Linked DNA regions of Elephas maximus indicus. The protein of the gene in region 1 interacts with the protein of each later gene in a pairwise test. Links are inferred from orthologs where the notes say so. Each region holds a gene or a part of one and is shown on either strand. Other genes may lie near its edges.

Evidence for each region.
Region 2: the proteins of PPP1CA (region 1) and PPP1R15B interact in binary tests that used the Homo sapiens proteins (3 or more experiments, as listed by UniProt). The link is inferred for Elephas maximus indicus from reciprocal best matches to the Homo sapiens genes PPP1CA and PPP1R15B.
Region 3: the proteins of PPP1CA (region 1) and PPP1R9B interact in binary tests that used the Homo sapiens proteins (3 or more experiments, as listed by UniProt). The link is inferred for Elephas maximus indicus from reciprocal best matches to the Homo sapiens genes PPP1CA and PPP1R9B.

Annotation. Positions count from the first base shown.
Region 1 is NC_064825.1:130,433,634-130,437,643, reverse strand, and holds the start of PPP1CA (serine/threonine-protein phosphatase PP1-alpha catalytic subunit), read left to right. Parts: upstream 1-1,681; 5' UTR 1,682-1,776; coding exon 1,777-1,831; intron 1,832-2,305; coding exon 2,306-2,437; intron 2,438-2,561; coding exon 2,562-2,792; intron 2,793-3,439; coding exon 3,440-3,544; intron 3,545-4,001; coding exon 4,002-4,010. Other genes in the region: TBC1D10C (carabin), read right to left, coding at 185-336. UniProt on the Homo sapiens protein: Protein phosphatase that associates with over 200 regulatory proteins to form highly specific holoenzymes which dephosphorylate hundreds of biological targets.
Region 2 is NC_064836.1:13,666,187-13,670,196, forward strand, and holds the start of PPP1R15B (protein phosphatase 1 regulatory subunit 15B), read right to left. Parts: upstream 2,664-4,010; 5' UTR 2,145-2,663; coding exon 234-2,144; intron 1-233. UniProt on the Homo sapiens protein: Maintains low levels of EIF2S1 phosphorylation in unstressed cells by promoting its dephosphorylation by PP1.
Region 3 is NC_064837.1:43,474,018-43,478,027, forward strand, and holds the start of PPP1R9B (neurabin-2), read left to right. Parts: upstream 1-1,298; 5' UTR 1,299-1,792; coding exon 1,793-3,178; intron 3,179-4,010. UniProt on the Homo sapiens protein: Seems to act as a scaffold protein in multiple signaling pathways. Modulates excitatory synaptic transmission and dendritic spine morphology. Binds to actin filaments (F-actin) and shows cross-linking activity. Binds along the sides of the F-actin.

The DNA.
Region 1 (4,010 bases):
CCAGCCATTCCTGCCTCAGGGTTCTACCTGGAGCTTGAAAAGAGGTGATACCGACTGAGTCCCATTCCCTACTGCCAGACCCTCCCAGGATGCTCAAAGTTGGACGTCATTCCAGAATCCAGCCCTCAGGCCCCATCCTCAGCCCCGGCACTCTATACCTCCCCCCCCCCCCCCCCCCACTTACCATGGCTCTGCTGAGCCTCCGCCGATGAAGCCATAGCGGTCAGCCTGGCGATATGGGCCGGGCCCACTCAGCTCTGAGTCGGACCCCAAGGAGCTGGAGTCATCCTGCAGCTCGGTAGGCTGCACCAGGTCCTCCCCTAGGGCCTGGGCCATGCTGCCCCCGACCCCAGATGCCACCGGCTGCAAGATGCGGGGAGAGCCAGGGTAAAGGGCAGTTCCCGACCCGTCTGGGTTCGGGGCTCACAGCCAGCCAGGCCCCAGCCCCAGGGCCTAGATGTTGAGTCGGAGGGGTAGGTTTCAGGGTATCTCACCAAGGCCCCTGGGTTCCCTCTTTTTCGGAGTCAGGGGCTGGTGACTAGGCCCTGAAATGGCAGCAAGGCCAGACCTCTGTACAAAGATCCAGACCCAGGCCCAGCTGCTGCCCCCACCAGCCCAGCTCACCTCTGGGCTGCACCTCACCTCCTCCTCTCACTTCCTCCTCAACCCTAGCTTCAGCAGCGCGCTGAGGGGCCCCTCCCAAGTAGGGAGGTCACCCCTTCCTCTCTGAGGCTCTTCCTGCCTGCCCTGGTGCCCTGTGAGCCACGGCCCCTCCCAACCTCCCACGGGGCCGCAGATGTGGGTTTCTATGCCTTCTGTGTGGCGCGGGTCTGCTAGGTAGAGAGGTAGAGAGGAGGTGTCGCCTCCGATTTAGATTCCTGGCATGTAAGACGTCCAAGGTGGGGCTCCAATGAGAATTAGGGCTTATTTACTGTTTGCTCTTTACAAAGTTACGCTTTTAACACGTACATAATGCGTGCACATTGTTTAACTGTGCTACTCACAAGGTAATTACTCACAAGGTAATTACAGGACTTTCATTTAGCCAGCACTACTCTGGTTCGGTGTGGACAAGAATGGGTTTGAAGGTCAGTGACAGGTGGTCTTCGGGCTTGGTCGGCCGCCCGGGGGTTGCCAGGGAGACTTAGGAGAATGAGACCCTCCGTGAATGTGAGATCACTGTCTCAGGTCAGCCCTTTGCTATCTCGAAGCCTCAGTTTCCTTTTCTGAACTTCTAGGACTCAACCCGCCACGTTTGGGGAGACGGACAGGGCTGGGTTTGTCGCGGTTATTAATGCGCTCGCACCACCCTCGCCCCAGGGCCAAACCACCACAGGGCAGCGGTGGAAAAAGGGCTGTTCAGTCTAAAAGGGAAAAACAACTTCCATAGGACTTCTGGTGAGAGACCTCAGAACCGGGCTCCGTGACTCCTCGGGGGGCGGGACCAGACGTGGCCACGCCCCACAAACCACGCCCCCAAGCCACAGCCAGGCTCCACCCCACCCCGCCAAAGCCCGCCCACCGCCGAGGCCCGGCCTCCAAGGCCGTGGCGGCGCCGCGCCTCCCGTCCGGAGGGGGCGCTAGAGCGCGGGGCGCGGGCGCGGGCGCGGGCGCGGGCGCGGGCGCGGGCGCGGGCCGGGCGGCGGCCGAGGCGGGGCGGGAGGCGCGCGGGGGCGGCCCGGGCGGGCGGAAAGAGCGCCAGGCCGGAAGGAGGCAGCAGGAGGGCGGGCGGCAGGAGCGGGCCCGGAGCGGCAGGGTCGGAGCGGCGGCGCCGCCATGTCCGACACCGAGAAGCTCAACTTGGACTCCATCATCGGGCGCCTTCTGGAAGGTGAGCGGGGGCCGGGCAGGGTCGCGCCCGCCCCGCCTTGGCCCCCCGCCCGGCCCGGAAGTGGCGCGCGGCGAGCCTGCCCCTCCCGGGCCTGCGTAGCCTGGGCGGGGACGCCCCGAGGTCCCGGCCCACCGCCGCTCCCCCACGCGCGGGCACGCCTGGGGGGTCCGAGGCCCGCTCCGGCTCGCGGAGCAGCCCCCTCTCCAGGGCCGGGGGTCTCGGGTGCGTGCGGGACCTGAGGCGCCTAGACCGGGGTGGGGTCCCGCGCTCTGAGGTGTGGGGCGGCGGGCCTGGCGCACAGCAACCCCATGTACAGGGCCCTGAGGGTAGTGGGGTCCTGTCTTGGGGGGCTTGAGGCCGAGGTCCCAGGCGACAGCAACATCTGTCCCTGGGCCAGGAGGGGTACCGTGGGACCCCGTGTCGCCCACCCTCCTGCCTGAAGACCCAGAGTCCTGACGCCCTTTTCTCCCCCAGTGCAAGGCTCACGGCCTGGGAAGAATGTCCAGCTGACAGAGAACGAGATCCGTGGTCTGTGTCTCAAGTCCAGGGAGATCTTCCTGAGCCAGCCCATTCTTCTGGAGCTGGAGGCGCCCCTCAAGATATGCGGTGAGCCCCCTGAAAGTGGCATAGGCCCCTCAAGTGTCTGGGTCCCTCCTCTCTGGAGCCTAACCTGACCCCGCTTCACTTGCAAACCCTGCACCTGGCACTGACGCGATTCCCGGGGTCACAGGTGACATCCACGGCCAGTACTATGACCTTCTGCGGTTGTTTGAGTACGGCGGCTTTCCTCCGGAGAGCAACTACCTCTTCCTGGGGGACTACGTGGACCGGGGCAAGCAGTCTCTGGAGACCATCTGTCTGCTGCTGGCCTATAAGATCAAGTACCCCGAGAACTTTTTCCTGCTCCGTGGGAACCACGAGTGTGCCAGCATCAACCGCATCTACGGCTTCTATGACGAGTGTGAGTGGTCCGGGGTCTGGGCACTGCCCAGCTCAAATGCCCTCCTCTCTGTTCAGCGGAACCCTCATATTGGCTTGGCGTTAGCCATACTGCCTGCCAGATTCCCGCTAGACTGAGCTCCGCAAAGGCAGGGTCTGGTTCAGGGCATGTCTGCCTGGCCCGCCCTCCCTGGAGGGGATACACTCAGGAGGGGCTTGGTGAATGGTTGCTGGCAATTTGAATTCGTACTGCTTTTCTTGGAGGCTCTGCCTGGTGACACTCCCACCTCCAGTGCACCCATTACTTAAATACTCAGGACGTCTAACTGGCTTGGACTCTGCTGGCCAGAAGCTGAGCTAAACCAGATCAGGTCTTGCCTGGCCCTGCTCATGGGGTTGGGGTGGGTGGGTGTGTGTTAGGCGGAGGATGTACCAACCCTGAGGTTCTGGATTGGAACTTGGGCGTTCCTGTGGACTCTGCTGCTTTAGAACTCCATCCTGGAGGAGTGGTAGGCAGCGTGGGGAATGTTAGCCCCCTTGCCTTTCACTCTCTTCTCCCAGCTGGGTCTGGATGGCCCACGCAGCACCCTGGGGGGCCCAGAGACCCAGGCTGGGGTGGGGTGGGGTCAGTGAACAGCCTTCTCAGAGCCAGCCCTTTCCTCCAAGCAGGCAAGAGACGCTACAACATCAAGCTGTGGAAAACCTTCACCGACTGCTTCAACTGCCTGCCCATCGCGGCCATTGTGGATGAGAAGATTTTCTGCTGCCATGGAGGTGCGGGCCTGGGGGCTGGCGAGCGCCTTCTTACAGCCGGCGTCGTGCTGCTGAGGGAGTGAATGCCTGCGAAGGCAGGGCCAGCCACACCGCCTTGGGATGAAGCATGGTTCGCTGGAGGGCGAGTGTCCTGTCGCCTGGAACGGCTTGCGTGTTGTCTTAGATGTCACTTTTTCCAAGAAGTTGCCTCACCACCCTCTGTTAGGGTGCACTGTGGTGGAATTTGCTTATCTCCTTTTTCCAGAGAGCTGTGGGCATTCCTTGAGGGCAGGGAATTCTTGTTTGTTTGCCCCTGTGCTCAGCGATTGGTAAATGCTGAGGGGAGGATGAAGAGGCCTGCCTGGGCCTGGCGGTGGTGGTGGTGGTGGTGGGGAAGGTGAGGTGGTTGGTGCAGCTGCCTGGAGGTGGGCTCCCTGGTGGAGGCTTGTTGAGGCATCGAGCCGCGTGTGTCTCCCAGGCCTATCCC
Region 2 (4,010 bases), on another chromosome or scaffold:
TAACCATTTAAAAACTCTAAATGATAGGACCGTCCCAATCTCTAGAAAAATTGTGTATATTTCCGTTCCCTGAAAAAGCATGAAAAGTTGAAACCTGCAGGGAAACTCCCAACCCATTTAGAGATCTTCCCCAAAAAGATGCACTACTATGCCTCCAAAAAAGTCATGCTGCTGTGTTTAACCACATCCACCACGAGAACAAATCACCACGCATGTTAAGAAAATAAACGAACCTTTTTTCTTTTGATATGCCTGTGTCTTTCCCCAGAGAGAAACTGGTAGTGGACCAAGTCTGGACAGTCACTTCTTTGGCTCCCTAACGGCTGCACTTTACAAGAAAGGAAGGTGTGACACTCAGAAATGGCTACAAAGGACTCAGATGGTCTCTCTGAGTCACGATGGCCTTTCCAATTTTTCCCTGATGTTTGGAAGGGAGCCTTAAAATTCAAAAGGTTGTAGGGGTCATCAGAGTTACAGAAAGAGTTCCACAGTCTGAGACTCTCAGCCTCATCTGCGCTAGATTCCCAGTCATCTTCCTCTCCAGAACTCTGGTCAGGAGACTCAGGAAGGCTTCTAGTCTGGGGAGAATTCTCTAGATCAGATCCGTCGGACAAATCGTTCTCTGAATCAGAGGGGTTTCCAGGACCAATTCTGGCAGCAGTCTGAATGGTTGCTGTAAAGTTCTGGGGATTGTAAGGGTCTACACTGTAGAAAGAGTTCCAAAGGTGAAGCCCTTCAGAGTCTTGCTCAAGGTCTGACTCTGAAAGTGAGCTATCACTGTCAAAACCATCATCCTCTGCTTCGTCATTCCAATCCTCACCTTCGGAATCAGAACTTGACTCCAGGTCACTGGACCCACCTCCCAAAATGTAATCTATCAGTTTGTTGCTACAGGCTGGTCTGGCAGACATGGGCTGGTCATCTTCTAGGGTTGAGTTGTCAACCCCACAAACCTGGTCCTCTCCAGGCTCTTCAACCACAGATATCTCACAAGATGGGCAGCTTCCCAAAGGGTCCTGTTTTTCCAGAGCATGGAGAGCCTCTTCAGTCAGCAATTCTATGTTTTCCTCAGTGACTTCCTGGGAGGTTCCAGGTATGGCTTCCGCAGGTGAAACAAACTGTGCTGGGTTCTCTCTGCAGTGTTGCAGATCAATCCGAAGAAGGCTGTGCTCCTCCTCCAGGCTGTGGTAGCCATGATCTTGGTCAGGGGTGGGTAACGTCTGCCCTTTGCCAGCCTGCTGCAGGAATTCCAGACGTTTCATGCGAAGATGGTGGATTTCGGGCAGGCCTTCTGTAGAAAGAGGTGGGCATTCTTGCCACGAGGCTTTAGTGACCTCTGCATTCAGTGGCTTGGGGTGACAATGGTCATCAGTCAGGCAGCTGCTCTCTGGAGTCCAAATCTGGCAATCCACCAGCTGGCCACTTCCCACGCTGTTCTGATAACTGAGCTCTAGGCGAGGAAGGCAGTCCAGGTAGGAGGCGTTCAGCAAACAGGAGACTAAATTGAAGTTGCCTAAGCGCTGAATGTTGAGAGGCCCTGAGGGCGAAGAGCCAAGTTCCCGGTTCAAGAGCTGGGCTTGAAGGCTACTCGGCAACAGCTCCACTCTCCACAGCTGCTGCTCTAAGAGGAAAGCGGGTGCCGCAGGGTCCAATGCGCGCCCTTTGGCTGTAAGTGCCAATTCTAGATCTGGGGACGAGCACTGCCAATGGATCCCCTCCTCTAGCCAATCAAGGGGGCTGGCAGCCGCCGAGTCGTCCGAGAGGTCGAGCCGCAGCGAACTCACAGATTTCTGGGCGATGGGCGCGACAGGTTCGTCCCGTCCCCTCAGGGCTCTCAGGGCGCTGTAGCCTCCAGCAAACTCCAGCCATCTGGTGGGACTCAGCCCACCGAAAAGCTGGCTCCAAATCAGCAGCTTCTGAAACAAGCTGGGGAGCGGCGCAAAGAGCTGGGAAAGCAGTTTCATCCAGTAGCTGGTCCGAGCCTGGGGCGGGGGAGAGGAAGCCAGTTTGGGGTCCCCGGAGCTTTCCGGAGCGACGGGTGTGGGGAACTTGGAAGAGCCTGGCCGCGATGGCCAAGGGAAGAGGAAGGGCAGCCGGAACCGGGCGCCCGCCCGTCTCCGCGACCTGTCTGCTCCCGGCTCCATCTCCTTTTTCCTGGCAATGTCTCAGGCACTCGGACCTCGGCGGCCGGAGGGCGGACGCGATTCGGAAGAGGCCTAAACAGTCTTGGCCTTACCAAGCAGCGGAGTCGGTGCTCCAGGCCGGTCCCCGGGCCAGGAGAGGAGCCACAGAGCAAAGCGGCTTCGGCAGCAGGCGGCGGATCGCGGCCCGGAACTGCAGGAACAGGACGCGGCAGCTGAGGCGAGAGCCATCCCGGCGAGGAAGGGGGTGTCCTAGTTCGCTCGAGGCCTGGCCACCATAGATGGGAACGCTCCTCCGGCGGCGACCTTCCAAGAGAGAAGGACCGTTAAAAAGCCCCTCCGCAGCACGACACCGGAAGGACGGGGTAGGCAGGCGAACGCGGGTGGAAGCCCAGTCCAAAATGGCCGCAGGGCCAGCGCCGGGGCAGGACACCCCGAGGCAACCGGATGAGACGCAGCACGGCCGGGGCGCCTACGCCGCCAGCCCGGCGCAGCCGAACGTCCCTCGCAGAGCACCGGGGGGCGGGCCTTAGCGCGCACTTCCGTGTGGCCGCTGATTGGTCTCGCCCATTTCCCTGTCGGCTTCCTTACTCTCGGCGGACGCCGCTCGCACGCGGAAGGTTGCATCAGCCGGGCTGTGCCCTACGCGTGCGCACTTGTTTCCTTGTGGTCTCCTAGGAGATCGCCAGGTTGCCCTCTGGGCTAAAGGGACGGGCTCCGGGAGGTGGAGGTATTTCAAGACAACCAGAGAGTTCCCTGGAGCCCTTTTAATGTCCTAATACACACCGAAGTGTATACACTTACCGTATGTATAGGGGTTCCAGTATTTTTGAGAACTGAGTAGATCACCAGCCTGAGATTAACATATACTGTACCAGGCGTTAGGCAATGCTCTGTAGTAGGTAGACGCCTGGTGTTAAGACATTTCAATCTTAAGTGGAAAATGAATCATCCTTAGGTATCCCTGCCCTCTCGGTTTTAGGGTTTCTAAATAAGTACTCAGCATTGCCGGGCATCTAGCTTTGAGGTGACATGCTCAGGTACACGTTCGTTGTTTGGGTAGTGCCTCCCTATCAGACCATCCGCTGTCACTGTGGAGCAAGCTGAAGTCACAGAGGAGGGAAGACACTTAGTCCTAGAACCGTTTTCTCGAGCTTTTGCTTCCCAGCAGGCAACACATTCTGTTCATATTTATTTTCTAAGCTCACAAAACTACAGGGTGCGACACCCAAAGAAGAAAGCACAGAGTATTATATTTCGAAAAAAAATTGGCCGGTAATTTTAATTGCTACATTTGATTCTCTCTTGTGAGTTTAGTCTTAGTTCATTTACTTATTTCTCCTAAAACTTTTAAATCCATACCCTGAAGTATCTATTACAGAGGGAGGGTAGTAGTAATGAGCACTAGGGACAGCGGAAAAAGATCTTTTGGGAGCCAGGAAGAGGCCAGCTACGAATCTTACCTTATTAGGCCAGTTCAAGGAAACTTCTTTCTAGGAAATTAAAAAAAAAAAAAACACCGAACAGATTTCTGTGGAGCTGATTCTGACTCATGGTGACCCCATGTGTTACAGAGTAGAACTGCTACGTAGAGTTTTCTTGGCTGTAATCTTTCGGGAAGCAGATCTCCAGGCTTTTTTTTCTGCTGTGCGGCTGGGTGGGTTTGACTGCCAACTTAGGTTAGTAGTTGACTGCAAACCGCTGGCGCCACTCAGAGACTGCTAGGGAACTAAAAGTCCTCGATTTCTCCTGTTTACCCTTTATCATCTTATTATCCATATCTCTGGAAATAACTCAATTCTAAGAATTTCAGAAAAATGTTCCAATAATAGTTTAATAATAGAAAAGAGATTCAAGTATGCAAATTAA
Region 3 (4,010 bases), on another chromosome or scaffold:
GGCAAAGGCCGCAGGAAAGCCTGAGATGCAGGAAGCAGCTGGGGGGGCGGGAGGCTTTGTGCCTGAGTTGTTCTCTGGGTCCTAGGGTCCACTCCGTTCAGTCGTCTCTGGGATCTGGAGCAAAGCCGAGGCTCTGGGGTCTTGGTTTGGAGTGTACCTCTTCGCACACCTCCGTCCCCCGCCCGGGCAGCTGGGGAGGGGTGCAGGGCAGCCCTGGCCCCCTGTTGTGTGAGTGTTAGGGCGGGAGAGGGGTGTGGGCTGCGAGGGAACATCAAAATAGTTTTCTGGGTTGCCAGGACAGGGCATGTGTAGGTCATTGTGACCTCGTTGCCCCCCCCCCACCCCCACATGCACATAGTGGCCAGGACCCTCTAGATAAGAGACCCAAGTTAGAATTCTCGCTGGGTAAACCTTGGCCACAGGCCTCTAGAATTCCTCCTCCTCATCTCCCCCTTCCTGCTTGAGAGGCGAGTGCTCCTGTAGGGGTAGGAGGAAGGGGTTTGCGACCCCTCCGTTCCAGCCTGGGGTGCAGACAGGCTACCGGGACACCCTCTACAAACTTCCGAATGGCAAAGGGTAGCTTTCGGGATTTCCTGCCCTTCGGGTGATGGGGACCACCTTCTTTCTCCATTCCTTCTCCTCCTCCCTCCTAAGGCCAGCAACACTGTACCAAGGTTTCAGACATTACGGAGTGCCTAAGATTCCCCAGGAGGAAAAGTGGTAAAATGCAGAATCCCGGGCCGCTCTCTGAGCTTCTGATTCACAAAGTTTGAGGGAGGGCCCAGAATCTGTGTTTTTACCAAGCCCCAGTGATTTTGATAATGACAGCTTTGAACAACACTAGCGAGCCTTAAGGACCTGGAAGAAAATGATCCTTTGCCCCTTCCTACCTATCCCCCTTCACGTTGGGGTGGAGAGGGGCCCCACTAAAACCACTGTGGTTGGTCTGCCCTACCCCCAATATTTAATGGGGGTGCGGTTATGTGGGTTGTGATAAACCGCAGCCAGAGGCTGGGATGGAAGGGTCGCAGAGGATTGAGCAAGGCCTGAGGGCAGCGGAAGGCTTTCGGCGAGGGACCGGCAGGGGAGGGGATTTATTTGGGTGTAGGGGAAGGGGTGGGCTCACAGACTCTGGCCCCGGAAATCCGATCCCTCTAGGACCCAGAGGTGCCAGTCCCCCAGCGGCGGCGGCGAGAAGGGCAGCCGCTCGGTCTCCGGCAGCCGCCGCTCGGGCACAGCGAGAGAAAGACCGGAGCTCGGGGCGCGGGGGGGAGGGAGGGAGGGAGGGAGGCGCGGCGGCGGAGCGGCCCCGGCCGGCGGAGCAGCCATGGGCGCCGGGGTGCCCGGCCCCCGGAGAGCCGAGGCCCCCGGCAGGGGTGGGGGACGCCCGGGCTGCCAGCCCCGCTGACACCGCCTCGGAGGATGTGAGCCGGCGCCGCCGCCGCTGCTGCTTGGACAGGGCGCGCCGTCCCACCGGCCTGGCCGCCGCTTTTCTATTTTAGGTGGGGGCGACCGTACCAGGCCGCTTGGGCTTTTTAAGAGGGTCTGACTGTCTTTGGCAGCTTGATTTGGGAAGGCTACCCACACAGGACGCCCGGGGATTTTTTCCTTTTTTTTTTTTTTTCCTTAAACAGGGTTAACTGTTTTTGGCAGCTTGGTTTTTGGGGGAGCCTAGAAAAGGCCTCTCAGGGTTTCTTTTCGGGGGGAGGGGGACAGTGGTCCCGACTTGGCCACCCGCCTGTTGGCGGGGGAGAACGGGGAGCAGGGGGATGCGAACCCGGCTCCCCCCACCATGATGAAGACAGAGCCGCGGGGGCCCGGGGGTCCCCTCCGGAGCGCCTCCCCGCACCGTAGCGCCTACGAGGCGGGCATCCAGGCGCTGAAGCCGCCCGACGCGCCCGGGCCGGACGAGGCACCTAAGGCAGCCCACCACAAGAAATATGGCTCCAACGTCCACCGCATCAAAAGTATGTTCCTGCAGATGGGCACGACGGCCGGGCCGCCGGGCGAGGCGGGCGGCGGCGCGGGCCCGACCGAGGCCCCGCGGGCGCCCGAGCGCGGCGTTCGCCTGTCGCTGCCGCGGGCCAGCAGCCTGAACGAGAACGTGGACCACAGCGCCCTGCTCAAGCTGGGCACCAGCGTGTCGGAGCGCGTGAGCCGCTTCGACTCTAAGCCCGCGCCCTCGGCGCAGCCGGCGCCGCCGCCGCATCCGCCCTCCCGGCTGCAGGAGACGCGGAAGCTGTTCGAACGGAGCGTCCCCGCGGCCGCGGGCGGCGACAAGGAGGCCGCGGCGCGGCGGCTGCTGAGGCAGGAGCGCGCCGGCCTGCAGGATCGGAAGCTGGACGTAGTGGTGCGCTTCAACGGCAGTACCGAGGCGCTGGACAAGCTGGACGCCGACGCTGTGTCGCCGACGGTCAGCCAGCTCAGCGCCGTCTTTGAGAAGGCCGACCTGAGGACCGGCCTCCACCGTGGGCCCGGGCCCCCCAGGGCCGCGGCCGCCGGGGCTCCGCAGGTCAACTCGAAGCTGGTCAGTAAGCGTTCCCGGGTGTTCCAGCCACCGCCGCCACCGCCCGCCCCGTCGGGGGATGCCCCGGCCGAGAAGGAGCGCGGCCCCGGAGGGCAGCAGCCCCCGCAACACCGAGTCGCCCCCGCCCGGCCGCCCCCCAAGCCCCGGGAGGTGCGCAAGATTAAGCCGGTGGAGGTGGAGGAGAGCGGGGAGTCGGAGGCCGAGGCGGCGCCCGGGGAAGTGATCCAGGCCGAGGTGACGGTCCATGCGGCCCTGGAGAATGGGAGCACCGTGGCAACCACAGCCAGCCCCGCGCCCGAGGAGCAGAAGGCCCAAGCGGCCCCCGACGAGGCGCCGGCGTCGGCGGCTGTGGCTGTGGCTGTGACAGATAAGGGGGTCGGCAATGGCCGGGCCCCAGACTTGGCCCCTGAGGAGGCGGATGAGTCCAAGAAGGAGGACTTCTCCGAAGCCGACTTGGTGGACGTGAGCGCTTACAGCGGGCTTGGGGAGGACTCTGGGGGCAGTGCCCTGGAGGAAGAGGACGAAGAGGACGAGGAGGATGGGGAGCCCCCCTACGAGCCCGAGTCGGGATGTGTGGAGATCCCGGGGCTCTCGGAGGAAGAGGACCCGGCCCCGAGCCGGAAGATCCATTTCAGCACGGCGCCCATCCAAGTGAGTGAGCGCCCCCAACCCCCGGCCACCCCTGCGCCGCCCCTGCCACGTGCGCGCCGACGCCCCCACCCGGCCGGCCTGGTTTGGCAGGCTGAGTCAGCCCCTGCCACCCAGCCCCCTTCCCAGAAGTTGCCACCCTGAGGGGGGCGTGGGGGAGTTCCAGCTGTTTGTCAGAGGGGGATGATTTCCAGGCCTGGGAAGGGGGTGGCCTGCCCCGACCTGCCCTCAGGTGCCCCACCCGTCCTGCCCTATGCGGGTGCTGAGACACCTGCTTTGCCTTTTCTCCCAGACCTTCCTTCCTCCAGGGGCTGGGGCTGGGGCTGCCAGGGGCAGAGGCTTGGCTGGTGGAAAGGCATACGTGTGTCCTCAGGAGAACCCTCCCCCCCCCCCCCCCCGCATTTGTCCTACCCTACTCTGGGCGCGAGGGGGCCGGGGGAGCTTGGAAACACTCCTTCGTTTCCCCCACAGACAGGAGCTGGATAGGGTGAGGGGGGCTGAACAGAGGCAGGAGAGAGAAGGAAGGGGAGCTGGGAACTTCCCAGAACGAATGAAGGGGCAGGACACTGCAGCCCTTCCTCCATCGTGCCTGTAGCCCCCACCCCAACTTTGCAGAAGTGAAAGGGGGAAGCAGGTCTGTCAGGGTGCACTGAACTGGGACCGTGTGACTGGGGGTGGGGGAAAGGCTTAGGCTGGGACTCAGTCACCTGGGGGTCAGTGCTATTTCAAGCTACCAAGGTCCAGTTCCACAGGGAGGGGCACTTTGTGTGACCTGCTAAAGGGACTAGGCCATCTCTAGGGTGTGAAAGAGGAGGAGGTGGGGAAGAGGATGGGG